Stegostoma tigrinum: one gene and its partners. The main gene of each other region encodes a partner of the protein of the gene in region 3 in a complex. Links are inferred from orthologs where the notes say so. Each region holds a gene or a part of one and is shown on either strand. Other genes may lie near its edges. The genes, in order: rnf113a, lsm4, snrpe and prpf3.

Region 1 (7,358 bases), on a different chromosome or scaffold from region 3:
GTTATGACATAAGACAGAAGTTCATGGTGTTGAAGGTGATAATTAGTGTGGATACAAAACCGGCTAACTACCAAAATACAACTGAATAAATAGGTTACTTTCAATGTGACAAACTGTAGACAGTGGAGTGTAATAGGGATTGGTGCTGAGCCTTCAACTATTTACAATCTACTTAAGGACTTGGATGCAGAGAACAACTGTATTGTAGTTAAATTTGCTCATAATACAAAGACAGGTAGGAAAGCGAATTGTGAGGTGGGTACAAAGAATCTGTATAAGGATATAGGTAGGTTAAATGAACAGCAAACTGTAGCAAATGGAGCATATTGTGGAAAAATGCCCACTTCGTGAGAAGGGTAGAAAAGCAGATGATTATCCAAATCGGAGGGACAATGCAGACTGTTGTAAGGAAGGATCCGGTGCCCTTCCAGATACAGGAGGAAGTGTTGCTTCAACTGTACAGAATGCAGATATGAAATCACACCAAGAGGACTGTACACAGTTTTGTTTCCTTACTTAGGGAGTCAAGTGCTTGCATTTAAAGACGTTCAGAGAAGGTTCATTAAGTTGATTCCTGGGATGAAGAAGTTCTGTTGTGAGGTAAGGCTGAGGAGGTTTGAGCACTAAGAGGTGATCTTATTGAACTGTATAAGATTCTGAAGGCACCTGGCAGAGTAAGAGGCTAAGAAAATGTTTCCCCCTGTGGCAGAATTTACAACTAGTGGGCAGAGTTTAAAAACGAAGTGTCTCCCATTTAAGATGGAGAAGTGGAGAAATATCTTCTTGAAAAGGAGGAGTAATCTTTGGAACTTTCTTCTACAGTGCGCAGTGGAGGCTGGGTCATTGAATACATTCAAGGTTGTACCAGATAAATTCTTAAACTACAAGGGACAAACAAGAAACTGGAGTGCGGCCACACCAGATCAGCCTTGTTCTTACTGAGTGGTGATGTGGACTGAAGGGGCTGAATGATCTACACCTGCTTGCATAATACATGATGGCAAGTCTCCAACTTTAACATATGAACAAGGAACAGCAGGCCTGTGGGCCCTTGAATTTGGTTCGCCATTCAAAAAGATCAAAACCACAAGTTCACATTCTCACCTACCCTGATAGATTCTTGGTAAACCAGGAAAGATTATCTAATTTTGCCTTAAAAATATTCAGAAGATTCTTCCTGAAAAGGTGTGGCAACAGAGTTCCAAACACACACAACCCTCAAAACAAATTTCACTTCACCTCTCCTTTAAATGGTCAAGACCTCATTTTTAAATAGTTGCTCTTAATTCCAGTTTCTCCCAGAAGAGAAAACATCTTTTCCACATCCCTCAGGTGCTTACAATCTTGTGCATTTCCATCAAGTTGCCTCTTAATTTCAACTCCAGGAAACAAAAGGTTATCCTGTCAAACTTTTCCACATAAGCCAACATCCCCAATTGCAGATATCAGTCTGGTAAATATTCTGTAATTTGCTTGCACACATTTATATAGGAGCAAAATACTGTAGATGCTGGAGATCAGAAATAAAAATAAACAGCACTTGATAAACTCAGCAGTCTGGGGAGGTAAATAATTAATTTTTAAGTGAGTATGATTCTTCTTCACATTACAAACACGTCACGCAGAACTGGAACAGTTAACAGTGTTTCTCTCTCCACAGATGCTGCCAGACTTGTTGAGTTTCTCCAGTGCTTTCTATTTTCACACAACACACAAAATGACCTTCGGCTGGCTGAACACTAGGGAAGACACACACTCAATTCTCAGAGAAGATTCCATTTCTCCTGTTGCTGCCTTCATCTTGTGATAAAGCAGCATCGTCTGCACTGAGCAAAAGCTCGTAACAGAGGATTCTGACCATCTTGGATGTAAATACCTAGAAACTAAATTAAAGCAGTGGCGAAACTCTCACGAGCACTAAAATATAACCTTAACAAGAGAAACTGGAATGTCTGCCACTGTAAGTCAACATTAAACTGTGATTCCAAAAGAAGGCCAATATTAACTTTGTCACTTTGTCTTTCCGACAAAACATTAAATTCTAGGTGTCTAAGCTCTCAGGGAAAGACAATAGGTTCCTCTGCACTATGAGAGGAACAGCAAAGTTATTCTCCCCGGATTCCTGACCAACATAGGCCCCTCGCTAAATTAATGTTACTGAAACAGTTGATCTGTTTATTATCAGTTTATTACAAAATGCCGTGTGTGGAGATTTTCCTGTGCATATGCATCCCCCCCGCCCAGACTCCAGCCTCAGTGCTTCCGATTTTACAACAGTGAATTCCAGTAATTTATTAGCCTTGATGCTGAAGGAAAAAAGCCTGTGGTCTTGAAAGGTGGTACTTAAATGCAAATTACTTTACCTCTGTCAAAGATCTTTTGTCAAATCAATCTTCCTCATTGAGGGGCTTGGAGATAAACCCAGGACAGCAAGCGGGTTTGTTGAATTTAGCATCACCACATTAGAATGCACTTTAATCAGTGCGATTTGTTGTTGAGGATGAAACCTGGAAAGGCTGGGACTCTTTCCCCTGGAGGGTAGGAGATTCAGGGGTGACTTTATAGAGGTTTTATAAAATCACGAGGGGACGTAAATAAGGTGAATGGCAGGTGTCTTCTCCCTAGGGTGGGGGATTTCGGGACCAGGTGGCACATTTTTAAAGGTGAGACGAGAAGGATTTTTTAAAAAAAACAATTTCTTTACAAACAGAGAGTGGTTCGCTTGTGGAATGAATCTCCTGAGGATGTGGGGACAATTACAATGTTCAAAAGACATTTCGATAAGTATATGAACAGGAAATGTTTGAAGGGATATGTGCCAGGAACAGGCAGGTGGGACTGGTTTACTTTGGGATTACGGGCAGCACGGACTGGTTGGGCTGAATGGTCTGTTTCCGAGCTGCATGAAACGGCGCCTGGTGAGAACTGCGCTCCGTTTTAAGCCCGAGCGGAGACACAGCCGGAGAATGCGGCCCCTTCCTCCCTCCAGGTCAATACCTTTGTCACTAGCGCTCGCCCTCCGCTTCCTTCCTTTAAATTTCCTGCTAGATTTTTTAAAGAGGAAAGTACAGACCGGGGCCGTCTTCCCCGCTTCCCCGGACTCCGCCATCTTAACAACAATACAACATCAGCAGCAAGCGGAGCCCGTGCAGCCCCTGGTGGCTCCATGTGGGAATACCCACAGCGGCCCCAAGTGGTTCAGAGCTGCATTGCACACAGCGGCCCCCAGTGGCCTCGACGGCACTGCACACAGCGGCCCCTGGTGGCTCGGAACGACACTGTCCTCTGTGACTTCTGTTATTCACAGAATGGAGTGAAATTAAATGATTGAGATAGGAGGAACTGCAGATGCTGGAGAATCCGAGATAATGCGGAGTGAATGTGGATGAACACAGCAGGTCAAGCAGCGTTAGAGGAGCCGGAAGTTCGGGCCTAAACCCTTCTTCAGAAATGGGGGAGGGGAAGAGGGTTCTGAAACAAATAGGGAGAGAGGGGGAGGTGGATAGAAGATGGATAGAGGAGAAGGTAGGTGGGGAGGAGACAGACAAGTCAAGGAGCCAGGGATGGAGCCAGTAAAGGTGTGTAGGTGAGGAGGAGAATTGTTTTTGTGCAGAAGACGGCCATTGTGTCTGACTGGCTCTCTGAATATTTTAATTCAGTGCCAATCTCCTGCCTTTTCGCCATAACCAAACTCATTGTTTAAACTTAAACTCAAATTTGTGCACTCTTGAATGCTCAGTTACACTTCAGGACATATATATTCAGACCTAAGTCATCTAATTTTAAAAAAAATCCATAGGATGTAGGCATCGTTGGCTGTGTCAGCATTTATTGCCTGCCCCTAGTCGCCGCTGAGAACTTGGTGGTGCTGTGCATTCTTGAACCACTGCAGTCTATGTGCTGTACGTAGACCTACAACACCATTAATGAGGGGTATCTTTCTTAAATATTACCAGAATTTCAGGCTTGAATATCTTTCCAGTCAATGAGTCTCAGCTACCACTACCCCATGAAAGAAAAAAATACAATCTGGTAAAGATTAATGTTAAGTCAGAGGATCGGGAAAGTTTTAAACATCATCAAAAGAAAACCAAAAAATAGCAAGAAGGAAGAAGATAAACTGAGGGTAAACATGCAAGTAACAAAAGATGAAGAACAAGCACTTCTTTAAATATTTAAATTGAAAAAGAGAAACCAGTGAGGGAGGCAATAGCCTAATGATATCAATTTGGATCCAGAAACTCAGGTAATGTAGGGATGTGGGTTCAAAGTCTGCCATAGCGGATGTTGGAATTTACATTCAATGGAACTGCTCTTGTGAAATTATTCACAGTTAGATTGTTAAGTAGAGGTAGATGTTTAATTAGTAAGGCAGGAAAATGGAGATGAGGATTGTCAGATCAGCCATGTCCTCATCAAATGGCAGAGCCAACTTGATGGGCTGAATGGCCTCCTTCTGCTATTATGTGTTATGACCTCAACCCTCCACTTAGCTAGAGTTAGTAGGAACTGCAGATGCTGGAGAATCTGAGATAACAAGGTGTAGAGCTGGATGAACGCAGCAGGCATCAGAGGAGCAGGAAGGCTGACGTTTCGGGCCTAGACCCTTTTTCAGAAATGGGGAAGGGCAAGGGGATTCTGAAATAAATAGGGAGAGAGAGGGAGGTGGAAAGAAGATGGATAAAGGAGGAGATAGGTAGAGAGGAGACAGACAGGTCAAAGAGGTGGAGGAGGAGCCAGTAAAGGTGAGTGTAGGTGGGGAATTAGGAAGAGGATAAGTCAGTCCAGGGAGGATGGACAGGTCAAGGGGGCGGGATGAGGCTAGTAGGTAGGAGGTGGGGGTGGGGCTTGAGGTGGGAGGAATGGATAGGAGGGAGGCAGGACAGGCTAGGGAGGCGGGGATAAGCTGGGCTGGTGTTGGGATGCGGTAGGGGGAGGGGAGATTTTGAAGCTTGTGAAGTCCACATTGATACCATTGGGCTGTGGAGTTCCCAAGTGAAATATGAGGTGCTGTTCCTGCAACCTTCGGGTGGCATCATTATGGCACTGCAGGAGGCCCATGATGGACATGTCGTCTAAGGAATGGGAAGGGTTGTTGAAATGGTTCGCGACTGGGAGGTGCAGTTGTTTATTGTGATCTGAGCATAGGTGTTCCTCAAAGCGGTCCCCAAGCCTCCGCTTGGTTTCCCCGATGTAGAGGAGGCCACATCTGGAACAGCGGATGCAGTATACCACATTGGCAAATGTGCAGGTGAACATCTGCTTAATGTGCAAGGTTTCCTTGGGGCCTAGGATGGGGGTGAGGGGGGAGGGTAGGGGCAGGTGTAGCACTTCCTGTGGTTGCAGGGAAAAGTGCCGGGTGTAGTGGGGCTGGAGGGGAGTGTAGACCAGACAAGGGAGTCATGGAGTGAGTGGTTCCTCCAGAAAGTAGATAAGAGTGGGGAGGGAAAAATGTCTTTGGTGGTGGGGTCGGATTGCAGATGGCAGAAGTGTTGGAAGATGATGTTGTCCTTGTTGATGGAGCTACTGGTCTGTGTTGCTATTTCCTCTAGTAATATGGGCGCTGTTTCTTCGGCTAGTGGGATGTCAATTGATGTGAATAAAGCTGTGACGCCAAAGGATACCATAATCTAGTCGCTGATTTTTATGTTTTTGAGGGTATCAAGGACATCTTGTGTTGTGTGAATAGAATGAGGTGATCTATCTACTAAGTGTTTCAATCTCTGTTGTAGGTTTTTGGCCAGTTTATGTGAAGGTGTCTTGGTCAGGAAACAGTGGGTCTGAGAGGGATGTCTGGTTTATGTACGTTAGGGAGTCCATAGAAGAGGGAGGGGGTGTTTGTGCCTGCTGGTTTCATTCTCATGAAGTCTGTCTTGGTTATCTGCCCTGCATTCATTAGTAGCTTCAGTGCCTGGCTGATCCGATTACTGAGCTGTGGTGTTGGGTCTATCGCCACCTGTTGGTAAGTGGTTGTATCTGCAAGCAGTGTCTTAGCATTCTTAACGTAGTCTGGTTGTTTATGATAACAAAGTGTAGAGCTGGATGAACACAGCAAGCCAAGCAGAATCTTCCTGAGATGCTGCTGGGCCTGCTGTGTTCATCCAGCTCCACACTTTGTTATCTTGGATTCTTCAGCATCTGCAGTTCCCATTATCTCTGGTTGTTCATGATAATGGTCATGCATCCTTTCTCTGCTAGGATTATGATGTTCTTGACTTTCCTGAGTTTATATAGTGCTTTTCTCTCTGTTGTGTTCAGGTTGTCCCCTTTGTTCCTTCTGTGTAGTGTGGCGATTTATAGTTTGTCGGATGGCTTTTTTAGATTAGATTCCCTACAGTGTGGAAACAGGCTCTTTGGCCCAACAAGTCCACACTGCCCCTTGGAGCATCCCACCCAGACCCATCCCCCCATAACCTACACACCCCTGAACACTACGGGCAATTTATCATGGCCGATCCACCTAACCTGCACATCTTTGGACTGTGGGAGGAAATCGGAGCACCCGGAGGAAACCCACGCAGACACGGGGAGAATGTGCAAACTCCACACAGACAGTCGCCCAAGGCAGGAATCGAACCCAGGTCCCTGATGCTGTGAGGCTGCAGTGCTAACCACTGAGCCACCGTGCCGCCCAAAATCAGCCCTCTTCAATTCTCGGACTTGCAATGACAAAAATGAGACTGCCTGAGGCTGAACCCTAACCGGGGCAGGAAATAGGCTGCACCCAGACTTGAACTTGGATCGCAGGGCTCAGAAACCAGAGTACTGACCACTACACCAGAGCACCCAGGGCTTGTTGTGTTTCCTCCCTGAGGCTGTTGTCTTTTAATGTATTCTCCAGGGCAGCCATGAAGCCTGTTCTGTTCGCATCTTTTGTGGTTATAGTTCAGTCCGCGTAGTAGGACAGCTTTCTCCGTTTCTGTGAGTTGTCTGTTAGATAGGTTTCTTCTCCATGCATTTGGTTTGTTGTTGTCCTTTTTGTGAGGAGTCAGTTTGGTCAGTTTCTCCTGCAGCTTGTGTCCATTCTTAGTTTTGGTTTTGTGTTGATTGATGGTGATGGCCTGTTCTAGGTGTAGTCCATTGTTGGTCCATTGAGTTTAGATACTGTGATTTTTGGTGCACAATTTCTCATTCGTACCTTTGGAGTTGGTTATGGGCATCATTAATCATTACACATAGCATTCTGCATCCATTCTATTCAGCTATTTTATATCCTGTGGTTTGTTGAGTGGAGGTTTGTATTTCACGCTGTGGGGCAGTACCTGGTTCCTGAGATGTTTGTGGAGGAAGTGAAGTTGTTCACATGCAGACCTCAGTTGATTGGTAAAGATTTCCCGTTGTCTGGCAATTTTTAGCAT
Region 2 (7,437 bases), on a different chromosome or scaffold from region 3:
ACTTGACCTCATCCTTACCAATCTGGCAGCTGCAGTTAAAACTGTTCATGGCAGTATCGGTAACAGTGACCATCGCATAGTCCTTGTGGAGATGAAGTCCCACCTTCACGTTGAGGATAACCTCCATCATGTTCTAAATGGGACAGATTTCACACAGATCTAGCAACTCAGAATTGGGCAACCATGAGGTGCTGTGAGCCATCAACAACAAAGGAATTGCACTCCAGCACAATCTGTAACCTCATGGCCCGGCATATCCCCAGTCAACCATTACCAACAGGCCAGGGATCAACCCTGGCTCAATGGAGGGTGCAGGAGGACAGGCCAGGAGCAGCAGCAGGCATACCTGAAGATGAGGTATCGACCTGGTGAAGCCACCAAACAGGGCTACTTGCATGCCAAACAGTGAAAGCAGCAAGTGATGGATGGACCTAAGCAATCCCACAACCAACGGATCAGATCTAAGCTCTGCAGAGCTAGAAGTCCATCCCTGAGAGCATTATGGGTCAACCTACAGCAGGAGGACTGCAGCAGTTCAAGGCCACCTAGGAATGGGCAAGACATGCTGGCCAACCAGCGACACCCATATCCCGTAAATGAAGAGAAACAAAATGGTCCTCAGAATGAGGGACTTTCGTTTGTGGAGTAGAGAAGCAGAAAAGCTCAAGGAGATTAAATAGAGATGTTCATATTGGGTTTTGATGGAATAAATAAGGAGAAGTTGTTTCCAGTGCAGGAGGTTAGGCAACCAAAGGGTCACATTCAAAGTAATTGGCAAAAGAATCAGAGGGGAAGATGAGAACATTATTTTCGTTACAGTTGCAACATGGAATGTGCTTTTAAAAAGCTAGTGTAAACAGACTCCAACGTAATGTTTGTCACAGTACAAATAAATACCTGAAAATTAAAGATAACAAAGTGTGGAGCTGGATGAACACAGCAGGCCAAGCAGCATCTGAGGAGCATAAAAGCTGACGTTTCAGGCCTAGATCCTTCATCACCCTTTTCTGATGAAGGGTCTAGGCCCGAAACATCAGCTTTTGTGCTCCTGAGATGCTGCTTGGCCTGCTGTGTTCATCCAGCTCCACACTTTGTTAACCTGGATTCTCCAGCATCTGCAGTTCCCGTTATCTCTGGTCAGAAAATTAAATATTTGCAAGGCTGTGAGGCCTTGAACAATCTGGACAGCTCCTCAAAGACCTGGAAGTGCTATGATGGGCTGAATGGCCTCTATTTGTTCTGAGTTTCTACAGTTGGTGCTCCAGGACTTTTTACTACACCTGAAAGTGTGATATAATTGCAAGTTGTCATTGAGTAAGAATGTGGAGAAAAGCTTGTGCAATGCTCCCTAAGGTTTCATTGGCACCTGCCCTGAGCAAACAATCCTGGAAGGTACCACCTCTAGCAAGTGCCTTTGGGACAGGAAGAAAGCATTAATACAACATAGATATAGAAGGAACTGTCGATGCTGGAGAATCTGAGATAACACAGTGTGAAGCTGGATGAACACAGCAGGCCAAGCAGCATCAGAGGAGCAGGAAAGCTAATTCTGTTTTACTAACGTGTGTTTGGGAATTAAAGACTACCAACAAGTTGTATTTAGTATGTTTAATCACATGAAACACTTCAAGGCACTTAAATTTACAGGAGCAGTGTTGGGAAAATGATGGCCTTGTGGTATTAGCACTAGACTATTCATGCAGAAACTGAATGCTCTGAGAATCCAGGATCAAATCCCATGGTGAAATTTAAAATGCATTTTTAAAAAGTCTTAAATTAAGGGCCGACTGATGACTATGAAACCGTTGCCAATTCTTGGGCAAAAACCCACCTGGCTCGGTAATGCCTTTTAAGGAAAGAAACTGTCATCCTTTCCTGGTCTGGCTTATGTGTGGCCTTGGACCCAGAGCAATGTGGTTGACTCTGGGCAAACAGGGATGGGCAATAAATGCTGCCCTTCCAAGGTTGCCCTCATCCTGTGAGTGATTTTTAAAAACAAAAAATTATACTATCATATGTAGAAATATTTTAAGGCCGGATGACCTACAGCTTTTGGTCAGAGTTCCTTTTAACTCAAACACAAAACAAGGGCTGGGCCAGCATTTAAAGAGTAATTTAACGTGGGAGAGTGGTCAAGAGACAGGGAAGCATTTCCAGAGCTCACAGGTTAAACAAACAGCGATGGGATTATGTCAGAAATCACACAGCAGCAGGTTCTGGTGCAACAGGTTTATTTGAGCCTCAGTCCTTCAGACGTTAGTGAAAGAGGTAGCATCAAACACAGAATTTATAAGAGATCAAAGATCACACCACTGTTCAGGATCTATTAGACAAACCGCATGCTGCTAAATCTTCAATCAGTTCAGAGGGTTTATAATATGTACATATTATATATTTCCATATCAGTATACATACACAGACGAAATCTTTAGTCAGTTAGGTTTTAGCCGGGGGGGGGGGAAGCAGGGAGGAGGGGACCGGGGGGGAGGGGGGTGCGGGGGGGGGGAGGGGGGTGCGGGGGGGGGGAGGGGGGTGCGGGGGGGGGAGGGGGGTGCGGGGGGGTGGACAGGGGTGCGGGGGGGGGGAGAGGGGTGCGGGGGGGGGGAAGAGGGGTGCGGGGGGGGAAGAGGGGTGCGGGGGGGGAAGAGGGGTGCGGGGGGGGAGAGGGGTGCGGGGGGGAAGAGGGGTGCGGGGGGGGGAAGAGGGGTGCGGGGGGGGGAAGAGGGGTGCGGGGGGGGAAGAGGGATGCGGGGGGGCGAAGAGGGGTGCGGGGGGGTGAAGAGGGGTGCGGGGGGGTGAAGAGGGGAACGGGGGGAAGAGGGGTGCGGGGGGGGAAGAGGGGTGCAGGGGGGAAAGAGGGTTGCGGGGGGGAAAGAGGGTTGCGGGGGGGGGGAGGGGTGCGGGGGGGAAGAGGGGTGCGGGGGGGGAAGAGGGGTGCGGGGGGGAAAGAGGGTTGCGGGGGGAGGTGGAGCAGGGGGCAGGGTGAGGTGGAGCGGGGGGAGGGGGCAGGGGAGGGGAGGGAAGCAGGAGGGGAACGGGGGGAGAGGAGCCGGGGTGGGGAGGGGGGAGCGAGGGGAACGGGGAGGGGGAGCGGGGGGGGGAGAGGGGAGCGGGGGGGGAGAGGGGAGCGGGGGGGGGAGAGGGGAGCGGGGGGGGGGAAGAGGGGAGCGGGGGGGGCGGGGGGGGAGAGCAGTGGGAGCAGGGGGAGTGGGGAGAGTGGAGCGGGGGGAGCGAGGGGAAGCGGGGGGGGGCAGGGGGGGGCAGGGGGGGGAGCCGGGAGCTGGGGGAAGGGGAACAGGAGGTGAGCGGGGGGAGAGGGGAGCAGGGGGAGAGGGGAGTGGGGAGCGGAGGCAGAGGGGAGCGGCGGCAGAGGGGAGCGGCGCGGGGGGGGAAGGGGGGAGCGGAGAGTGGGGGGGAGGGGAGAGCGGGGGGGGAGGGGAGAGAAGGGGGGAGGGGAGAGAAGGGGGGAGGGGAGAGAAGGGGGGAGGGGAGAGAAGGGGGGAGGGGAGGGAGAGAAGGGGGGGAGGGAGGGGAGAGAAGGGGGGGAGGGAGGGGAGAGAAGGGGGGGAGGGAGGGGAGAGAAGGGGGGGAGGGGCGGGGGGGGGCAAGGGGGGAGGGGCGGGGGGGGGCAAGGGGGGAGGGGCGGGGGGGGCAAGGGGGGAGGGGCGGGGGGGGCAAGGGGGGAGGGGCGGGGGGGGCAAGGGGGGGAGGGGCGGGGGGGGCAAGGGGGGGAGGGGCGGGGGGGCAAGGGGGGAGGGGCGGGGGGGGCAAGGGGGGAGGGGCGGGGGGGGGCAAGGGGGGAGGGGCGGGTGTGGGAAAGAGGGAGCTGGTTGGAGGGGGACGGCGGCAGATGGAGCCCGCGGGGGGAGGGGAGGCGGGATGGGGGGTGTGAGGTGGGGACGGGATTCGGCGCCAAGTGCTGGGCTGTTCCTCCTACGAAGGCCCCACTTTACGCCAACTATTGCGACAGCAACCTCAGTACGGGGCGCCACCTCTGGTCGCTGCCATCTCTGATTGGCTGTGTCTGTGGCCGCGGCTGCTGATTGGGGAAGACAACCCGTCCATCAGGCTGGCGGGGCGGGGCTAGGCCGGAGCCGTAAGTTGGGTTGTCGCAGCCGCGGCGGGAGGAGCGGGAACCAGAGACGGAGACAGAATGGTGAGGGTGAGGGCCGCAGGCTGAGCCTGAACAGGCTGCAGCATTGGACGCTGAGGGGTGACCTTATGGAGGCTTATAAACCCGTGAGAGTCATGTGTAACAGAGAATAGCCAAGGTGTTTCTCCGGGGGGTTTAAGGTGAAAGGTTTAAAGGTCTCGAATGTCAGCTTTTTCACACTGAGTGGGGTCTGAGGAAGTGGAGGAGGCTGGTACAGCCATAACATTTAAAAGGCATCTGGATGGGTACATGAATAGGAAGGGTTTAGTAGATAATGGGCCAAATGGGACTAGATTAATTTAGGATATCTGGTCAGCGATAGGCAAGTTTGATCGAAGGTAAGAGATAACAAGGTGTGGAGCTGGAGGAACACAGCAGGCCAAGTAGCATCAGAGGAGCAGGAAAGTTGACGTTTCGGGCTGAGACCCTTCTTCAGAAATGGGGGAGGGGAAGGGGATTCAGAAATAAATAGGGAGAGAGGGAGGCGGATAGAAGATGGATGGGGGAGAAGATAGGTGCAAAGGAGGCAGACAGGTCAAAGAGGTGGGGATGGAGCAAGTAAAGGTGAGTGTAGGTGGGGAGGTAGGGAGGGGATAGGTCAGTCCACGGAGGGACGGACAGGTCAAGGAGGTGGGATGAGGTTAGTAGGTAGCTGGGGGTGCGGCTTGGGGTGGGAGGAAGGGATGGGTGAGAGGAAGAACCGGTTAGGGAGGCAGAGACAGGTTGGACTGGTTTTGGGATGCAGTGGGTGGGGGGAAGAGCTGGGCTGGTTGTGTGGTGCAGTGGGGGGAGGGGACGAACTGGGCTGGCTTTGGGATGCAGTGGGGGAAGGGGAGATTTTGAAACTGGTGAAGTCCACATTGATACCATTAGGCTGCAGGGTTCCCAGGCGGAATATGAGTTGCTGTTCCTGCAACCTTCGGGTGGAATCATTGTGGCACTGCAGGAGGTCCATGATGGACATGTCATCTAGAGAATGGGAGGGGGAGTGGAAATGGTTTGCGACTGGGAAGTGCAGGTGTTTAGTGTGAACCGAGCGGAGGTGTTCTGCAAAGTGGTCCCCAAGCCTCCTGTTTCTGTGCTATGTATCTCTGTGACTCTAACGGGGGTTGTGGGGAAAAATGATTGAACGTGTCGTTATAGAGACATATGGGGGGGGGCGCGGTGGAGAAGGATGGTTGGTGAGGGAGGAGAGAATGAATCAGTCGGGAGAGCAGGTGAGAGGAGAGAAGATGTTGATGTTGAGCTTGGTGGGGTGGTGTGCTGTGTGGGTCTTAATTATACCGATATACCAGGACATTGTCGGGGAATGAGGGAAAGGGGCAATTGGGCAGGAATGTGAGAATGTGAAGAATATCCCTGACTCCCAGCCTCCCTTTGGTGTGGGGTGAAAGGAGGGAACCCATGTGCTGCTGCTTTTGTAATCTGAGCGCTGTTGATGGATTTCCCACTCTGAGACCTGTACAGTCAGTCCTAATTCTATCCCTTTCCAGCTTTAATCCTGGAGGCAAGGGTCGTGCTGATTGTAGCTGTACTTCCCCACCCATTTTAAAAGAGCTTTTGTTTTTAGTTTTTATATTTAGTTGTAACTCTTACGTTCTGATTTATAGTGGGGATGTTATCCACATTAGCAGTAATTGTTTTGACAAATTAAACTTTCTTCTCAGATTTAATCAAATGTTTTTCTTCTTTATTTCAGCTGCCCCTTTCATTACTTAAGACGGCACAGAATCATCCAATGGTAAGAGAGGCTGAGAGAATGCCTGCATTTTGCTCCATGATTGGTCCAGGCAGGGCTCCCACTTTGGCACATGGACTGTTTGAGCTCCTCAGTGATTCAAGCCTACACTTGTCGCTCCCTCAGCCAGCAGTCGTTTTTTTCCACCTGAGTGTTTGACAACTTGTGTTATTTTTAAAGAGTAAGTTAGCAATCATGGCAAGTAATTTTTATACTGAAATGCCTTAAACCCCCAGTCTCTGCCTGAGTGCTACTTCTCAGCTTTAATATAACTGAACAAGGGGACAAGTGTATGCTGTGGAGTCTGTCCCAGTATTCTATATTTGGCTAATTGTCGCCTTTGGACAGGTTTCATACATGTTTTTAGTGCCTCCCAGACAAGGGCCTTTGAACAGTCCCCTTAAATGTTTACACTTCTCAAAGTTAAGAAATATTCTGCCTTGACTTTTGTCTACCAAAGTGAATAGCTTAAATTATTGACATTATGTTCCAGCTGACACGTTCCACCCTGTGCACATAGCCTGTCCAAGTCCTCACGAAGCCTGTTTGCATTTCCACCTAATTTGGTGTAACGAGCAAATTTGGAAATATTACATCCAAATTACTTGTACAGACTATGAACAGTGTGGTCTTAGCACAGTACCCCAGTAACAACAGCCTCCCATCCTGAGATTTTTTCTGTTCACCAATTGTCAGATAATGAGGCAGTACATTTAATCATCAGTGACTTTAATGTTCATGTAGATTGGGAGAATCAAGTTGGCAAAGTGACAAAAAAACTTCATGATGTATTTGAAATTGAATCCACTTCTTCTTAGAAGCTAGCGGGGATCAGGCTTCTTCGGATCTGGTAATGTGAGTTGAGGCAGCATTAATAAATTAGCCCACAATAAAAGATACCTCCAGGAACAGTGATCGTAAAGCATTCAGTTTGGGTGCGAGAAATTTGTATCAGAAATGACTGTACTGAACTTGGGGGTAATTATATTAGAATGAGGACAGAGTTGGCTGGAGTGGTTTGGGAAAGAAGTTTAGCAGCAAAGGTGTTTGAAGAACAATGGCAGACATCTGAGAAGATAGTTCCTGGCTTTCAGCAAAGGTACTTAACCAGTAAAGGAGGAGGATTCCTGAAAGGGGTGTTATGAAGTTTTAGTAGAGTAATCGTGAGGTGGAAGGAAGGAAGCTAAAATATATTGTTCCTTGTGGTATATGATACAGTATAAGTGATTGTGGTGATGTTGTGTCTTCCTGCTGAGGCCTGTACCAGAGGTAATGGCGGATTATGCTTTTCGGATATCCATTTCTTTTGAAGGCACTGTATAGGTGCTTGTATTATACTTCGCGTTTTTCCATAGATCAAGGACATTTCAGAGATGACCACAAGAATACTCAGACCGCTAGGTATCAGAGTAGCCTACAAACCAACAACCGCCCTACAATAGTTACTGGTGAACGTAAAGATCCCATACCCAAAACCAGCAAGCCAATGTAATATACAAAATACCATGCAAGGACAGTGAGAAACACTACATAGGCCAAACCAGAA
Region 3 (7,882 bases):
CACACTTACAGAAAACAACAGATGACTGCATTCACTTGATGCAACTTCAGGTTTGCTGGTCAACTGTCAGCCAAAGCAGCCTGACTGAATTGTGAAAAGTCAATTAACTGCACATCAGAACTCCAGGCTAATTTTCATACTTACAATTATACAGCCTTCTATCCTCATGTTGACTTGTTCATATAACCATACTTGGATCCTGGATCTCTAGAGTAAAGGAAAAAGGTAATTCAAGTCAGAAACAAATTATTTCCAACGAGTTTGAATAAAACAGTGCCTCTAAGCTGTGCAATGCTCCCTCAGTCATGTATTAGAGTCAGAAAAGACTGTGTTCAGGTCTCTGGAGTGGGTATGAACTCATGACTTCTGACTTAGTAAGAGAGCTGCAATTAAGTTGAGATTTAATCAGCCCTTTGCTGAATTACTGCAGCAAAGTCATTAATAAACTGCATTCACTTAACAGGTATGATAAACACCATTACCATGATGATTAATTATGTAAAATATTAAAAGTAAACAGCTTTACTTACATTCTGAAGGTACCTGAAAATAAGATTCTGTTGCACGTTCAGTTAAGGACAACATTTATAAATTATATAATGAACATCTCCATTATAAGATCTGCGTATCCCTCACATGCTATCTATAACCAGTCTGTGGTATGGTCACCAATCTAATGAAAAAATGATGCATAATACCTACCTCAAAACCGTTTACAGCTACAGTATTGATGTGTTTATTGATAGACATGAACATTGGCGTCTTTTCTAAAATGGCCATTAATTATGTCGCTCAAGTAATTATCTACAATCTATTCAACTGCACACCATCATAAACTCAATGTTATCCTCATCCCACATTCACAAACTAGTGTGTCTAGAATGCACTTCCTGGAGGATCAGGAAAGATAAACTCCAGTGGAATTTCTCTCCTTAGCCTTTAAAATTAAATACCGAAGTCACGTCCATGCCTAGCTCTTACAAAGATCACTGAAACAGTTCTTCCAAATTTGTACTGACAGCTATTCCACTACCTAGGTGACATTCGCATCTGAGACTGTGCACATGTATAATGACCAAATCTAATTTGCCTGATAGTTTAGATTCAGTATGTTTACAAAAGTTTCCACCCAATAAGGCTCCCAAGCCCACATTCAAAATTCTCCTGTGAATACAGCAACATTGCAATAACGTGCACTTGGTACCTTCACTTGAGCAAGGATATAACAACAGGATAACACTATTATACCAAAAATTGCTCTTACAAATATTGAGATTCACAATGGTAGTATAATAAACTAGATTCAAAATGATGCATAGCAACTATACTTAATTTATCCTGTAGTATTTAACTTCAATTCAAAGGTTTGTATAATGCATTCAATCCACCAATCCTACATTCAATCAATTTATTAAAACTCCTGGTCAAACAAATGTTGCAATGTGAAAACTTTCATCCTTGTTATAAAGTTCCTGCAGGTAATCTTGCTCAACCGTACAAATGTCTGCCCTCATCTGATTCGAGCCTCTTGAGCATCCTTAATTATGGTTATATTGCTATTTATGACTGCACATATTCAGCTGCTCAAGAGTCTTGTATTCCTACTTCACTTTCCTCCTTTCTACAAGACCATAATACATAGGAGTGGAAGTAAGGCCATTCGGCCCATCGAGTCTACGCTGCCATTTAAATCATGGCTGATCAGCATTTCAACTCCACTTCCCTGCACTCTCCCCGTTCTGACACACCACAAAGTCTACCTCTTTCACAAGGAGTTTGCCAGTTAACCAAATATGTCAAATGTCATGGACACAAATTTTGTCCAGTAACGCTCCTGTAAAGCGGCCTGGTTTTATACTATGTTAAAGGTGCTACTTATATGTCAACCATATTTGGTGAGGGCCCTCCACAGAAAACCGCTGAGCGATTGCCTTACGCTGCTGAAAACCCCACCTCAACAAACCATGCTGCATCAATTCACTAATTTGAACAATTCCCACAAGACAAGAGCAGAAATAGGCTATCCAGCCCAATGACAATTCTGCCATTAAACGAGAGCATGGCTGATGTGAGAACCTTCAGCAACAGAAACAAACTGCTGAAAAAGCTCACAGGTCTGGCAGAATCTGCAGAGAAAAATCAAAGTTAGTGTTTCAGATCGAGTGATCCTTCCTCAACTTTGTTATGCTGCCTTTACCCCGGTTACCCTGGATTTCCTTGCCCGATTAAAAATCTTTCTCAATCTCTAGTACACTCAATGCCACAGACTGCATAGTTCTCTGCTATAAAGAATTCTACAGATTCACTGCCATCTTGGAGAAATTCCTCCTCATCTCTGTCTCAAATGTACGACCCCTTACGGTGAGAGGTTATACCCTATGCTCCTTGACTTTCCCACAAGTTAATACAACCTTTTCTGCATCTTCCCTGTCAAATACGCCAAAAATCCCATAGATTTTAATAAGGTCGTCTCTCATTGTTCTGACTTCCCAAGGGTAACGGGCCCTCTCAGCCCGAGGCTCCACAAAACACGGGACGACCATAACTTTAAAACAAAACGATTTAAAAAGCCGTTGTTCAATGGGGCTGAGCACGAAGGCGGGCGGCACATGGAGCTTGTTGTGAGGAGCCGCTCGCCGTCCATCGCACGGTGGATAGACCCAGGGAGGAGGCCTCAGAGACAGACAGGGAAAGAAAGAGAGAGAAGGGAAGGCAAGAGAAGAGAGGCAGGCAGGGTGTAGGCCCCGAGGCCGGGTGCAAGCCTGGGCACAGGATCCGGTCCGGAGTCTCGGGTTCAGGCCCGAGCCCGGGGCGCCCAGTCACGGGCCGATCCTCCCTCCCTCCCTCCCTCCTCAGATCCGAACACCTCCCCACCCGCCGAAAGGATACAATGGGCTGCACCATCACTTTCTGCACTTTCTGCGCCTGCCCGCGGTACGCCATGACTTCGGCTCCGACCCGGCGACCGCCTCAAGAAGGGGGGAAAACACAAAAAGAAAATGGAGACAAAATGGCGGCTCCCGCTTCACGCACCGTGACCTCTGACCTTCCCCAGCACGGCGCGGCGCGTTCGGGAAGAGGCGGGCCCCCGCTGCTATGGTAACGAGGAGGCGGGGCCCTTGCTGCTATGGTAACGTGGAGGCGGCATCTGATACTAAGAGCAGTGACAATGGGAACTGCAGATGCTGGAGAATCCAAGATAACAAAGTGTGAAGCTGGATGAACACAGCAGGCCAAGCAGCATCTCAGGAGCACAAAAGCTGACGTTTCGGGCCTAGACCCTTCATCAGAGAGAGGGATGGGGAGAGGGTTCTGGAATAAATAGGGAGAGCGGGGGAGGCGGACCGAAGATGGAGAGTAAAGAAGATAGGTGGAGAGAGTGTAGGTGGGGAGGTAGGGAGGGGATAGGTCAGTCCAGGGAAAACGGACAGGTCAAGGAGGTGGGATGAGGTTAGTAGGTAGGAAATGGAGGTGCGGCTTGGTGTGGGAGGAAGGGATGGGTGAGAGGAAGAACAGGTTAGGGAGGCAGAAACAGGCTGGGCTGGTTTTGGGATGCAGTGGGTGGGGGGGAAGAGCTGGGCTGGTTGTGTGGTGCAGTGCGGGGAGGGGACAAACTGGGCTGGTTTTGGGATGCGGTAGGGGAAGGGGAGATTTTGAAGCTGGTGAAGTCCACATTGATGCCATTGGGCTGCAGGGTTCCCAAGCGGAATATGAGTTGCTGTTCCTGCAACCTTCGGGTGGCATCATTGTGGCACTGCAGGAGGCATCCACTGTACCCGGTGTGGCTTCCTCTACATTGGGGAAACCAAGCGGAGGCTTGGGGATCGCTTTGCAGAACACCTCCGCTCGGTTCGCAATAAACAACTGCACCTCCCAGTCGCAAACCATTTCCACTCCCCCTCCCATTCTTTAGATGACATGTCCATCATGGGCCTCCTGCAGTGCCACAATGATGCCACCCAAAGGTTGCAGGAACAGCAACTCATATTCCGCTTGGGAACCCTGCAGCCCAATGGTATCAATGTGGACTTCACCAGCTTCAAAATCTCCCCTTCCCCCACCGCATCCCAAATCCAGCCCAGTTCGTCCCCTCCCCCCACTGCACCACACAACCAGCCCAGCTCTTCCCCTCCACCCACTGCATCCCAAAACCAGTCCAACCTGTCTCTGCCTCCCTAACCTGTTCTTACTATCACCCATCCCTTCCTCCCACCCCAGCCGCACCTCCATCTCCTACCTACTAACCTCATCCCACCTCCTTGACCTGTCCGTCTTCCCTGGACTGACCCATCCCCTCCCCACCTATACTCTCCTCTCCACCTATCTTCTTTACTCTCCATCTTCGGTCCGCCTCCCCCTCTCTCCCTATTTATTCCAGTTCCCTCACCCCATCCCCCTCTGTGATGAAGGGTCTAGGCCCGAAACGTCAGCTTTTGTGCTCCTGAGATGCTGCTTGTCCTGCTGTGTTTATCCAGCCTCACATTTTATTATCTTGGAATTCTCCAGCATCTGCAGTTCCCATTATCTCTCATTAACAGCATTATCTGTTTTTTTTTAGTGGGGCCAGGGAAACTGAACTAACATTTACAGATATTTATTCTTTCAACCTATCTGGTTTAAAATTTAAACCGTGGCTGGCAGTTAACTGTAGCTGATAGTTATTTGTTGCATTAATTTCTTTGCCAATGTATCCATCCTTTAGCACCCTCCTCCCAAACAGATGAATGTTGGTTTTCCCATGGAATTAATGTTTCTTCTCAATGAGTGCAAGAAGAAAACTTCTGACAAAATGTGTCTTGTTTTATCATCAGCACTTCCTTATTGTCTGGTTCGATGCCTCACCATTAACGCTGTATTCTTCATAGACTGATTGAAGACAAGGCAACGCCTAGGACTATTTGAGACTTAGACTTCAGATCAACACTATTGATCATACTGAATGCCAGAGCAGGTTCAAAGACCCCAATAGCCTTTTGTGCTATTTTCTATATTTCCGTGTTCATTACATGTTAAATGCTGCTGTTTATGCTAATCATAGATAAATAAGGCTCTGAATTATTATGTTAGGTAAGGACTAATCTTTGTTGTGTCCATGTCCATATGCTTTCCAGACTCTAAAGTTCTAATCTAGTGTAGTATAATGAGGTGTAATACATTGTGTTCTAACCATGCCCTCAATGTGCTATTTACATTCAGTGATGTGTAACTTTGTGACATCGTTGCAATTTTGGTCTGCTGTTCACGCAACAAAAAGTGTTGGAGAAAATAAGCAGGTATGACAGCACATGTGGTAAGAAAGCAGATAAACATTTGAATTCAACCTGACTGTTCAGAAAACGAAACTTCCTCTCAACCAGACCCTTGAGACCAAGGATGATTTCTTTCTACTCAGTAATGTAAGAGATTATCTTTTTAGGTTACATTATATTTGATTGTGGATTGAAATGGGAACTATTTTACATCAAACAACTGAGGAAGAAACTGCTATACTTTTAAAAGCAAGTTACTGAACCTGTCTTAAGTCATGGATACACTGTTGCTTTGCGTGCATTCAAGGAGGGTGTCAATAGATAGCGTGGCACAATGGCACATGTACAAAGATTTTGGCCTGCGACAAGTAACTGATTGGTTTGTGGAATTGCGACCGGTTATGGATGCTAAATATCATTGACCTAACAACTACCAGATTGGTTTATGGATGCCGGTCAATTTGTGGTTGACTATTACATTGAGCAAGTAGTGAGAAACCATTAGACCTCTGGAAGAGGAGGTGGTGTGTTTCTCGCCGGTAAAATACCTGAAGCTAAGGAAAGCCATTTTTCTTTATCTCATTAGTTGCTATAAGCTATTGCTTTTAACCAATAAGGTAAACACCTTTTAATTTGTGAATCAGTCACTCTGTGCCTCCCATAAAGGAGTGAAAAACCTAAAGGATAAATTCAGAAAACTAAAGGACTTGGGAAACAAAGTGAACTCCTCCATTGAGTCCTGAAGATAGGTGCCCTTGAACTGTTTCACCAATATTCAATCCCCTTTCATCCAGACCTGTCATTTTTGTTTGCATGTATGTGTATGTAGGAGGTGTTTATTAAAACGGTTAGTAGAGTTATATCAGAGATAATGGGAACTGCAGATGCTGGAGAATCCAAGATGATACAATGTGACGCTGGATGAACACAGCAGGCCAAGGAGCATCTCAGGAGCACAAAAGCAGACGTTTTGGGCCTAGACCCTTCATCAGAGAGTAGAGTTATATGTCAGCTTTTCATTGATTCTCTCCACAGACAAACAACTATTCAATTCTAAAAAATAGTAGCCCATTATGTAGAGAGTTTGGCTCATGTTTTCTGTCAACGAGTTGATCAGACAGGAAAATTGGAAACTTATGATAACATTTTTAACTTTTAGCAGGGCTTGATTTCCAGAGGGCTATTCCAGCTTTGATTTGTGCATCCTGAGGTGACTTAGCAGTCCAATGTGAATCTGCATGCCCTGCAACTGGTGGGGGTAGTCAGGTTCAACAAGGTAGGTGTTCAGGTTGTTGGAAGCTATTTAGTTGATCCTACCCCTCTAGTCTTTCCCACATATATCCAGTTCTCTTTTGGAAGTTTGTAGTGTGCCAGCTTTACCCTTTCAGATAGTGTATTATAGAACATAAATCACAGTATTTTAAATTTTTCTCCTTCCGTCACTACTGATTCTTTCACCAGTTACTTTAGATCGGTTATCAAGCGTCCCCCTACTGTTATTCTAGCAAAATATTTCATGGTGTTATAAATGACTTTACTGAATTCACATTTTGTTTAATTTCTCCATCCCTGGTATCAAACTAATTAAGATCCTCTGCACCGAAAGCCTAGATCTCCTTCCTATAATGCGGCCCATGGAATTAGACTCAATAGTCCAGCTGGGCCTGTTTGTGAGCAGAAGACATTTTCATAAAGCAAAGAATTCCATGTCTTTTTAATAGCTTTCTGTGCTTTTTATTTTCAAAGACATGTATGGACAGTCCAAATTTCTGTTCCTGAATTGGCCTTTGTATTTCTTTTGACCAAAATGTAATAATTCACCTTCATATGTTAAATATCATCCACCATACATCTGCCCATTTCGCCAGTCCATAAGTTTGTTTACGACCTTTCTCAAATTTGTGTCATGTACAGACTTAAAAGTTGCCACATGCAGTGATCCTGAAGTCAACCACTGGGAAATGACATTGTATTTTTCAGACAAATGACTGTTCACTATTACTCAGATCGAAGAACAGAAAATTTCTTCACAGCTGATCAGGCACCAATCATGTAATGAAGCAGATCTATCAGGTCGAGGTAACAAGGTGTAGAGCTGGATGAACACAGCAGGCCAAGCAGTATCAGAGGAGCAGGAAACATCAGCCTCCTTGCTCCTATGATGCTGCTTGGCCTACTGTGTTCATCCAGCTCTATAACTTGCTTTCTTGGATTCTCCAGCATCTGCAGTTCCTATTATCTCTATCAGGTTGACCCTTCATTAGAAGTGAGGAAAGCTAGTAATAGGTCTTGCAAATCTATTCTATTGCTTTTCTTCAATTCGGATTGCCCTAAACCTGAAAGGCAACTGCTTCATTTATTAATGAACCCTGCAGCCTAATGGTATCAATGTGGACTTCACCAGTTTCAAAATCTCCCCATCCCCCACCGCATCCCTAAACCAGCCCAGTTCGTCCCCTCCCCCCACTGCACCACACAACCAGCCCAGCTCTTCCCCTCAACCCACTGCATCCCAAAAACAGTCCAACCTGTCTCTGCCCCCCCTAACCTGTTCTTCCCCTCCAACCCTTCCTCCCACCCCAAGCCGCACCCCTATCTACCTACTAACCTCATCCCACCTCCTTGACCTGTCC
Region 4 (8,299 bases), on a different chromosome or scaffold from region 3:
TAATTGACTCATACGTGGCACTTTAATCAAATGCTTTATGAAAATCCAAATACCCAACACTTTTTTTACTCAGCCTACTGGTGAACACACTGCAGCGTATTTGTGCTCACATTGGAGAGGAGAAGGGAACTTGATCCCAGCCTCCCAAGTCAGGGGTCAGACTCTTTCCACTTGCCATGGCTGACAGACACAAAACCTGTGCTTGATGTCGCTGCTGTTTCCTTGTTCCCCACGTTTACTTTCAACAGCTGGTTCCATTTTATATATTTACAGAAGGCTCTTTTCATTTTTCTACAATTACACATGCAATCTCCTCCATCAATTATTTTTGTCATTTTTTGCTGAATTCTAAAGTCCTCCCAATTCTCAACTTGATACACGTCATTTAATCTGTACCAAACCTTATAACATCATGTGGTTTGACTGCTTATCCTGTTTGGTAGTTATTCCACATTACAGGAAGGATGTGGAGGCTATGAAGAGGTTTACCTGGATGCTAGCTGGATGAGAGGATATGAGCTATAAGGAGAGGCTAGAAAAACTCAGATTAATTTCCACTGCTCCAGAGAGCAAGGGCAGACTTGATAGAAGTCTTTTAAATTATGAGATGCATAGATAGGGTTGACAGGCAGAATCTTTTTCCCCAGATTTGAAGTGATGAAAACTAGGGGGCATGTATTTAAGATGCAAATGAGAAGTTCAAAGGAGGTGTGAGGGGCATTTTTTTTAGACACAGACAGCGCTAGTAGTTTAGAACATGCTGCTGGGGTGGTGGAGGCAAATACAATAGGGCCATCTAAAGGACTTTTAAATAAGCACATGAATATGCAAGGAATGGGGGGGGGAGCGCGATATGGACAACGAGCAGACAGAAAGAGTGAATTTAATTTGCAGTCATGTTCGGAAGAACGTTGTGGGCTGAAGGGCCCATTCCTGTGCTGTACTGTTCTATGTTCTAAAATGTATTTACCACAAATTATATATAAAATTTAAATATCTTTTAATACATCATGGATTTTGTAACAGTTTCCTTCGAATGCCAACGTGCCTACTGAGAGCTTCTAGTATTTTCTGTTTTTATCAGTGATTTCCCACATCTGCAACATTTTGATTTTGGATCATGATTTTGTTCCAATCTGTTGAGGTCAAATTTGCCTTTGTACACCGTTCACCTTGCTCAGACTTAAGAGCCTAATTCAAATGTAGAAATTAACAGAAACTCAGCAGGGCTAGCAACATCTATGGGCAGAAAATGTCATTAACGTGTGAGTCCAATAACCCTCTTCAGACCCTAGGTTATGACTTAACAAAATTATTCCCAGTGTCATGACCATGTTACGATCACTCTTCCTCAGATACCCTATAAAGTTATTAGTTAACCCTGTATAATACAAGATCAAAAACCAGCCTGAATGATTCCACAACTGGTTGATCAACGAAATGATTGTGAATGCATGGTGGGAGGTAGGCATTAATCAAACTTGGTTTTCATCAATTCGTCTTGTGCCTGGAAGAGCTTCTGGCCAATTACGTCATGGCTACAAGAGGGCAGGAGGGAGCAGTTAGTCAGGGTCACTGGCCGTCAGTGTTTACTGAAAGCCAGCTGGTCAACCACCTTTACTCCACCACCAATGTAGAACCACTCATCAAATGTCAATGACAGAATATGTGAAGACACTTGTGCGGGAGATTGGGAGTAGGGTTAGCACATGGGAGTTCTGATCAGGGACAATGATGGGTCAGCTCACAGGAATTGACATTTTAATGTAGACAGCACAACAGGATCTCTCATGTTCTACAGCAACAGGCCGCTCTCTCGTCACAAGGACGGTGTTGAATTCTATGCTGAAATTCATTTCAAAATTAGGTTGGAACCCATAATCTTCATCCTGCGACTGGGAGCTCTCAGGACCAAAGAATAATACAGGTCCTGGCAGGTGATTGACAGAGCATCAGCACTGAGGGAGCGTTGCACTATCGGAGGAGCAGTGCTGAGGGAACCGGTGGTTGGTGCCAGTCTGACTCACGGGTGTGTGTGTGTGCGTGCGCGCGTGTGCATGTGCGGTGTTTTGCTGATGAGGGTGCCAGATCACCACCGTCACCCCCACCCCCTCCAGGTGCCCTGGAGTGGAGGGATCAATGGGGCGCAGATCTCTTCGGTAGATTCAGACAGTCTTTCACCACCATCCCCATCTAGCCATATCCCACACTAACCCAGCCCCTCCTTCAAGTCTGGAGGGAGCAGCAGGGTGGGGGTGGTGGGGGTGGTTGGGGTGGTGGGGGTGGGGGTGGGGTGGGGGGGTGGGGGTGGGGTGGGGGGGTTGGGGTGGGGGGGTTGGGGTGGGGGGGTGGGGGTGGGGGGGTGGGGGTGGGGGGGTGGGGGTGGGGGTGGGGGGGTGGGTGGGGGGTGGGGGGGAGAAGGGGATGAAGAGAGGGAGAGCAGGAGGAAGGGCTGGAGGGGTCGGGGAGAGTAGTGGTGGTGGTAATAGGGGACCACACGGTCGGGGGGGGGGGGGATTAGAAGGTGGGGTGGGCCAGGGGGATGGGGAGGGAAGGGGGGGTGGAGTGGAGTGGGGAGGAGGGGGGGTGGAGTGGAGTGGGGAGGGGGGAGGGGGAGTGGAGTGAGGAGGGGAGGGCGTTGGGGTTAGGGGATGGAGTGGGGGGGGGTGTAATGGGAGGGCAAAGGCCCCAGGACCTCGTCCGAGTGCCACATTGAGGCTGTTAATGATGTGAGGATGGCGATGGTGGATACTACCCCGCGCCAAGCCTACTGCCCCCCCCCCCCCCGACACAACAGGCGCAGGCCGCAGGCCTCAGGCCTCACTCACCCGCTGCGACGACTGTCCCGCGAACAGACGGGGAGTGAGAGAAAAGGGGTCGGGAACCGGAAACCGGTGTCCCCGGCTCAACCGTCCTCCCGGACCCGGAAGCCGGTGCCCCCCTCCTCAACCTTCCCCCTTCGTTCCCCTCCCCGCCAGCTCCCTCGTACCTTTTCGGCACAGCACACCGGCCTCACCGGAAGTCCGCTGGCGCCACACTCAAAACCGTCCGGGGCCGAGTGTAACAACGAATGCACTCCCCGATTGGGCGCGATGCATCTGTTTTGGGGAAGACTGGGGGCGGCGGGAGAAGAAAGGTTCCGCTTCGTCCTCCTGACCGCGGGAAGGCGCCAGAGGGTTGCCCCGAACTTTCCAGACGCTTCTAGAACATCACAAAGGACCGTTTGGGGGGAACGTGTGTTGTTTTCGACAAACCCCAGCCACGATGTTTTGGAAAAAAACAGAGGAATCTGGGGTGGTGTAAGAAGGACATTGTCCCAGAATTGTACTAGAACATCACAGGGGCAAAGGCCTAGCGTGTTCTAGAACATTCCAGAGCGGGATCCAGCCTTTCCAAACAGAAAGAAACAGAAAAATAGTCTCCCTCCCCAAACAAAAGCATTCCTGGAGAAAGGATGGAAATGTACCGTAAAATAATTTCAGATACAGATCCAGAGGAATGCTCTGGTGAGTTCTGGAAAGTTCCAACACACCTAACTCCATGTATAAATCGGAATTCGGAGTAGAACCAGGCTGGACACAGTCAACAGAAAGTTCTGGAATATTCCGTGGCCCCAGAATGTTCCTGACTATTCCAGGGGAAGATGGGAATTCTCAAAAGATCAGTTCCAGGGAAATATACAGAATATTCCTGGGGAACGTTGAAACTCAAGGAGATAATTTCCAGGGAAAGGCCTGGATTGTTACAGGATATTCCAGGGGAATACCTTTACAAGATCAGTTCCAGGGAAGCGTCAGAACATTATGGAAATTTTCACAAATCGTCCCCAGGAGTACCCCAGATTGTCCCAGAAGATTGCAACCAAATGGCTCCTGAAAATTCCAAGCGAGTACCCAGAACTCTACAAGATCAGTTGCAGGGAAGGTCTGGATCATTCCAGAAAATTCCAGAGCTTTGCTGCAAATTTAGCAACTGTGAAACAAACGTCCAGGCATGCAAGGAAATGCCCAGATGTGGGGGAATTTGACAACCCTGAAAACAAAAATTACCCCAGAATCTCACAGAGAAGGTGTATCAGGATTCCTAAGTTTGAATCCAGGATTCAAGAAGTTCCATCAAACTTGAATAGATTCACGAATGGGTTTACAGTGAGCCTTTTGAGAAAGAATTTGGAAGATCTGAAAATTCCTGGAATCTCACACCTACCAAAAAACAGAATTTCACCAGGAATCTGAACCTGATCTAGAGCATCCCTGACAAAGCTGGAATTTTCAGATTCTTCCCAATTTGGTTTCTTTCCTTGCACCTGTGTAGATTCCACATCTGCTGCATCATTTACCGAAAATCCCAGGATTTGCAACTGACGTATCTGAAGATGAGCCTTACAGTCCACTAGGCCATCTTTCATCCAGTGGGAATAAAGTATCAGAGATTTGAGTTACTGAATTTGCACTCTTTTTAGTAAGTGCCATTGCAAAGTTAATGACCACGCCAAGGGCCCTAAGAATGCTTCATTGAAATTTTGAAATTGTTTGTGTATGTAGGAAAATGGATGCATGTGGATGAAGTTAATAAATGCAGATCAGTCACGTTCGCATTAAATGTCAGAACAGAGGATCTCAGTGACTTCTTCCTATTCCAGTTGTTACACCTCACTGGGTAGCATGCTAGAAATCAAGCCTCACTCTTCTGGGGTCATCACAAAAGCTAAAGATTTTAAAACATATGCCAAATTCTCCAATTTACCTGACCTTTACTCCCAGGTTGACAGAAAGAACAGACCAGGTTTCCATATTTAACAAGAATATGACTATATATTAGAAGTAAATAGACTCTAACTACAGGTAAACAATTTTGAACCATCAACAAATAGAATTAGATTTTATTGTCATGTGTACTAAAGTATAGAAGAACAGTGAAAAGTGTTCAATGTTGCCTCTTGTGGCACCATCTTAGGTAATAAAGGTACTTTATTAAATCTTAGATACCAAAAGAGGAATAAAAATTAACTACTAATTAAAACTCTAAATCCACTTATAAACCCCTCTAAGCACAAATTTGGGGGAAAAAATGAGTGTTTTGGATGGAAGGAAAACTGAGAAAACAGTTTCGTGCTCTCTGTTCACAGGACCTGCTGGGATGGTTCTTGTGCTGATCAGAACGCTGTTTCTCAATCTTCCTTTACTGGAGGTTTTCACTGATTTGAAGGAAGCTGGTTCACTTAAAGATGGTCTCTGATTCTTTACTTAAAATTCGCAGCATACTGCACTGCTGAAGGACAGTACGGTGATTCAGTGATCAGCACTGCTGCCTCACAGCGCCAGGGACCTAGCCTTGGGCTGTATGGAGTTTGCACATTATTCCTGTGTCTGCGTGGGTTTCTTCCCACAGGCCAAAGATGTGCAGGCTGGGTGGATTGGCCGCACTAAGTTGCCCATAGTGTCCAGGGATATGCAGGCTTAGAGGGATTAGCCATGGGAAAAGCAGGGTTACAGGGATAGGGCAGGGTTTGTGTCTGGGTTGGATGCTGTTCAAAAGGTTGGTGTGGCCTCGATGAGCCAAATGGCCTGCTTCCACACTGTAGGGTTTCTATGAAATGAATCCTATCTAATAAATAAACTTTTTCTTTGGTTTAATGGGTGATTTGATGGTGGAGATCAAAGAAAAAGTACTTTCAGAGACGTGTAAAAGCCTCCCTGGTAAGAAGAAGAATTTATCTGGAGGCTGAAAGAGAACAAAAATAATTCCTGAGCTGGTGGAGATCAGATGGCCTCTCACCATGTCTTGTTCACAACCTCAAGCAGTTCAGCTACTTGAGAACCAATCGCAGATCTTTGTCATTGATAACTGGACACTAGTTGACAGACTTGTGGCCAGCTGTATCTCCATTTGTATACACCATTGCCTGTGCTGTGTCTGCACCTTCTCCTCCTCCTGTTTGAACCAGCAGCTGTGCAAACAGTACTTCCAATGAGAGAAAACAAGGTGTAGAGCTGGACGAAGACAGCAGACCAAGCAGCATCAGAGGAGCAGGAAAGCTGACATTTCGGGTCAGGACCGAAGGGTCTAAACCCAAATGTCAGCTTTCCTGCTCCTCTGATGCTAATTGGCTTGTGGTGTTCATCCAGCTCTGCACCTTGTTATCTCGGATTCTCCAGCATCGGCACTTCCTTCTGTCTCTGAAACACTTCCAATAAGTGTCAGGTTGCTTGCTTTCAAAGAGCATAACAGTAGCCTTTCAGCAATCCTTGGTTTTAAAAGAGTTCTTCTCTCATTTCAGTCCACTAATAAAAATACAGAAAAGTGAAAAGACTCTTACGACACTGCATAACAGGCCTGAGGGGCTGAATACCACCCTCTCTTGCTTCACCCACCCTTTGGGCACCTCCAAACCCTCCCTCTTTATCCCTATCCCTCATCCATTTACCCCCTCTATCCCATTCCACCCCCCTTTAAGACCCCCATCCCCATTCCCTACCCCATCCCTCTCCCATTCCGCCACCCCACTCACTTCCACACTCCCTGCTACCTTTCACCATCCTGCTGCATCGATTTCAACTCACTCCCACCTTCCTTTCACCCCCACCTTGTCCCTCCTCTCCAACCCTTCCCCTCACCTTTCCAACGTCCTTCCCATTCCTCATGCACCCCCCCATTCCTTCTGCTGCTCATCTCCATCCCTTCTCCCCAAAATCCCCATCCTGCCCCCCTTCCACCTTCACCACTTCCCCCTCTGTCAGTTTTAGCCTCTCCCCTCCCCTTCAATGCCTCTCCAGTTCCTACATCTCTTTTCCCCCTCCCTTTCCCCCACCCATTATCTCCCCTGCCTTTCCCCTATCATCCATCCCATCCACCCCGTTCCCATTTCTTCCAGACTTGAGGGAGGCCTAGTTAATGTGGAATGTGGTTACTTGGGATGGAGGTGAGGGACTGTCTGAATCTGCCAAGGAGATCTGTCCCCACAGAACCCTGACCACACGGCACCCAGGTTGAGATTTGACAGCCTCATCAGCAAAGCACCCCCTCACCCCAGGTCCTGGAACCAGACAACAGACTGGCACGAGGTTCTGTCAGCACTGACCCTCCGACAGTGACAACTCCCTCAGCACTGAGCCTCTGACAGTGCCCGCTCCCTCAGCACTGACCCTCCAACAGTGCCGCTCCCTCGGCACTGACCCTCCAACAGTGCCGCTCCCTCAGTGCTGACCCTCCAATAGTGCAGCACTCCCTCAGCTCTGACCCTCCAACAGTGCAGCTCCCTCAGCACTGAGCCTCCGACAGTACCCACTCCCTCAGCACTGACCCTCCGACAGTGCCCGCTCCCTCAGTACTGAGCCTCCGACAGTGCCCGCTCCCTCAGTACTGAGCCTCCTTCAGTGCCTGCTCCCTCAGCACTGACCCTCTGACAGTGCCCATTCCCTCAACACTGACTGTCCCACAGTGCCCACTCCCTCAGCACTGACTCTCCAACAGTGCCCGCTTCCTCAGAACTAACCCTCCAACAGTGCCCACTCCCTCAGTGTTGACCCTCCAACAGTGCCCATTCCCTCAGCGCTGACCCTCCAACAGTGCAGCACTCCCTCAGCGCTGACCCTCCTACAGTGCCCGCTCCCTCAGCACTGACCCTCTGACAGTGCCCATTCCCTCAACACTGACTGTCCCACAGTGCCCACTCCCTCAGCACTGACTCTCCAACAGTGCCCGCTTCCTCAGAACTAACACTCCAACAGTGCCCACTCCCTCAGTGTTGACCCTCCAACAGTGCTCACTCCCTCAGCACTGACTCTCCAACAGTGCCCGCTTCCTCAGAACTAACCCTCCAACAGTACCCGCTCCCTCAGTATCGACCCTTCAACAGTGCCCACTCCCTCAGCACTGACCCTCCGACAGTGCCCACTCCCTCAGCACTGACCTTTGTGGTAAATACATTTTAGAGCATAGAACAGTACAGCACAGGAATGGGCCCTTCAGCCCACAACGTTCTTCCGAACATGGCTGCAAATTAAATTCACTCTTTCTGTCTGCTCGTTGTCCATATCGCGCTCACCCCCCCCCCCATTCCTTGCATATTCATGTGCTTATTTAAAAGTCCTTTAGATGGCCCTATTGTATTTGCCTCCACCACCCCGGCAGCATGTTCTAAACTACTAGCGCTGTCTGTGTCTAAAAAAAATGCCCCTCACACCTCCTTTGAACTTCTCATTTGCATCTTAAATACATGCCCCCTAGTTTTCATCACTTCAAATCTGGGGAAAAAGATTCTGCCTGTCAACCCTATCTATGCATCTCATAATTTAAA

What was found.
Region 1: snrpe (region 3) and rnf113a share a complex: the UniProt entries of both Homo sapiens proteins name them as parts of the minor spliceosome. The link is inferred for Stegostoma tigrinum from reciprocal best matches to the Homo sapiens genes SNRPE and RNF113A.
Region 2: snrpe (region 3) and lsm4 share a complex: the UniProt entries of both Homo sapiens proteins name them as parts of the U4/U6-U5 tri-snRNP complex. The link is inferred for Stegostoma tigrinum from reciprocal best matches to the Homo sapiens genes SNRPE and LSM4.
Region 4: snrpe (region 3) and prpf3 share a complex: the UniProt entries of both Homo sapiens proteins name them as parts of the U4/U6-U5 tri-snRNP complex. The link is inferred for Stegostoma tigrinum from reciprocal best matches to the Homo sapiens genes SNRPE and PRPF3.

Annotation. Positions count from the first base shown.
Region 1 is NC_081384.1:39,857,920-39,865,277, reverse strand, and holds the start of rnf113a (E3 ubiquitin-protein ligase RNF113A), read right to left. Parts: upstream 3,144-7,358; 5' UTR 3,110-3,143; coding exon 2,998-3,109; intron 1-2,997. UniProt on the Homo sapiens protein: Required for pre-mRNA splicing as component of the spliceosome. As a component of the minor spliceosome, involved in the splicing of U12-type introns in pre-mRNAs. E3 ubiquitin-protein ligase that catalyzes the transfer of ubiquitin onto target proteins.
Region 2 is NC_081383.1:1,023,166-1,030,602, forward strand, and holds the start of lsm4 (U6 snRNA-associated Sm-like protein LSm4), read left to right. Parts: upstream 1-4,143; 5' UTR 4,144-4,153; coding exon of another isoform or gene 4,154-4,156; 5' UTR 4,157-4,221; coding exon 4,222-4,239; exon of another isoform or gene 4,240-4,271; intron 4,272-5,852; coding exon 5,853-5,894; intron 5,895-7,437. UniProt on the Homo sapiens protein: Plays a role in pre-mRNA splicing as component of the U4/U6-U5 tri-snRNP complex that is involved in spliceosome assembly, and as component of the precatalytic spliceosome (spliceosome B complex).
Region 3 is NC_081374.1:11,214,660-11,222,541, forward strand, and holds the start of snrpe (small nuclear ribonucleoprotein E), read right to left. Parts: upstream 3,059-7,882; 5' UTR 2,944-3,058; coding exon 2,890-2,943; intron 558-2,889; coding exon 531-557; intron 208-530; coding exon 145-207; intron 1-144. UniProt on the Homo sapiens protein: Plays a role in pre-mRNA splicing as a core component of the spliceosomal U1, U2, U4 and U5 small nuclear ribonucleoproteins (snRNPs), the building blocks of the spliceosome.
Region 4 is NC_081400.1:2,578,887-2,587,185, reverse strand, and holds the start of prpf3 (U4/U6 small nuclear ribonucleoprotein Prp3), read right to left. Parts: upstream 3,062-8,299; 5' UTR 2,990-3,061; intron 2,935-2,989; exon of another isoform or gene 2,829-2,934; intron 1-2,828. UniProt on the Homo sapiens protein: Plays a role in pre-mRNA splicing as component of the U4/U6-U5 tri-snRNP complex that is involved in spliceosome assembly, and as component of the precatalytic spliceosome (spliceosome B complex).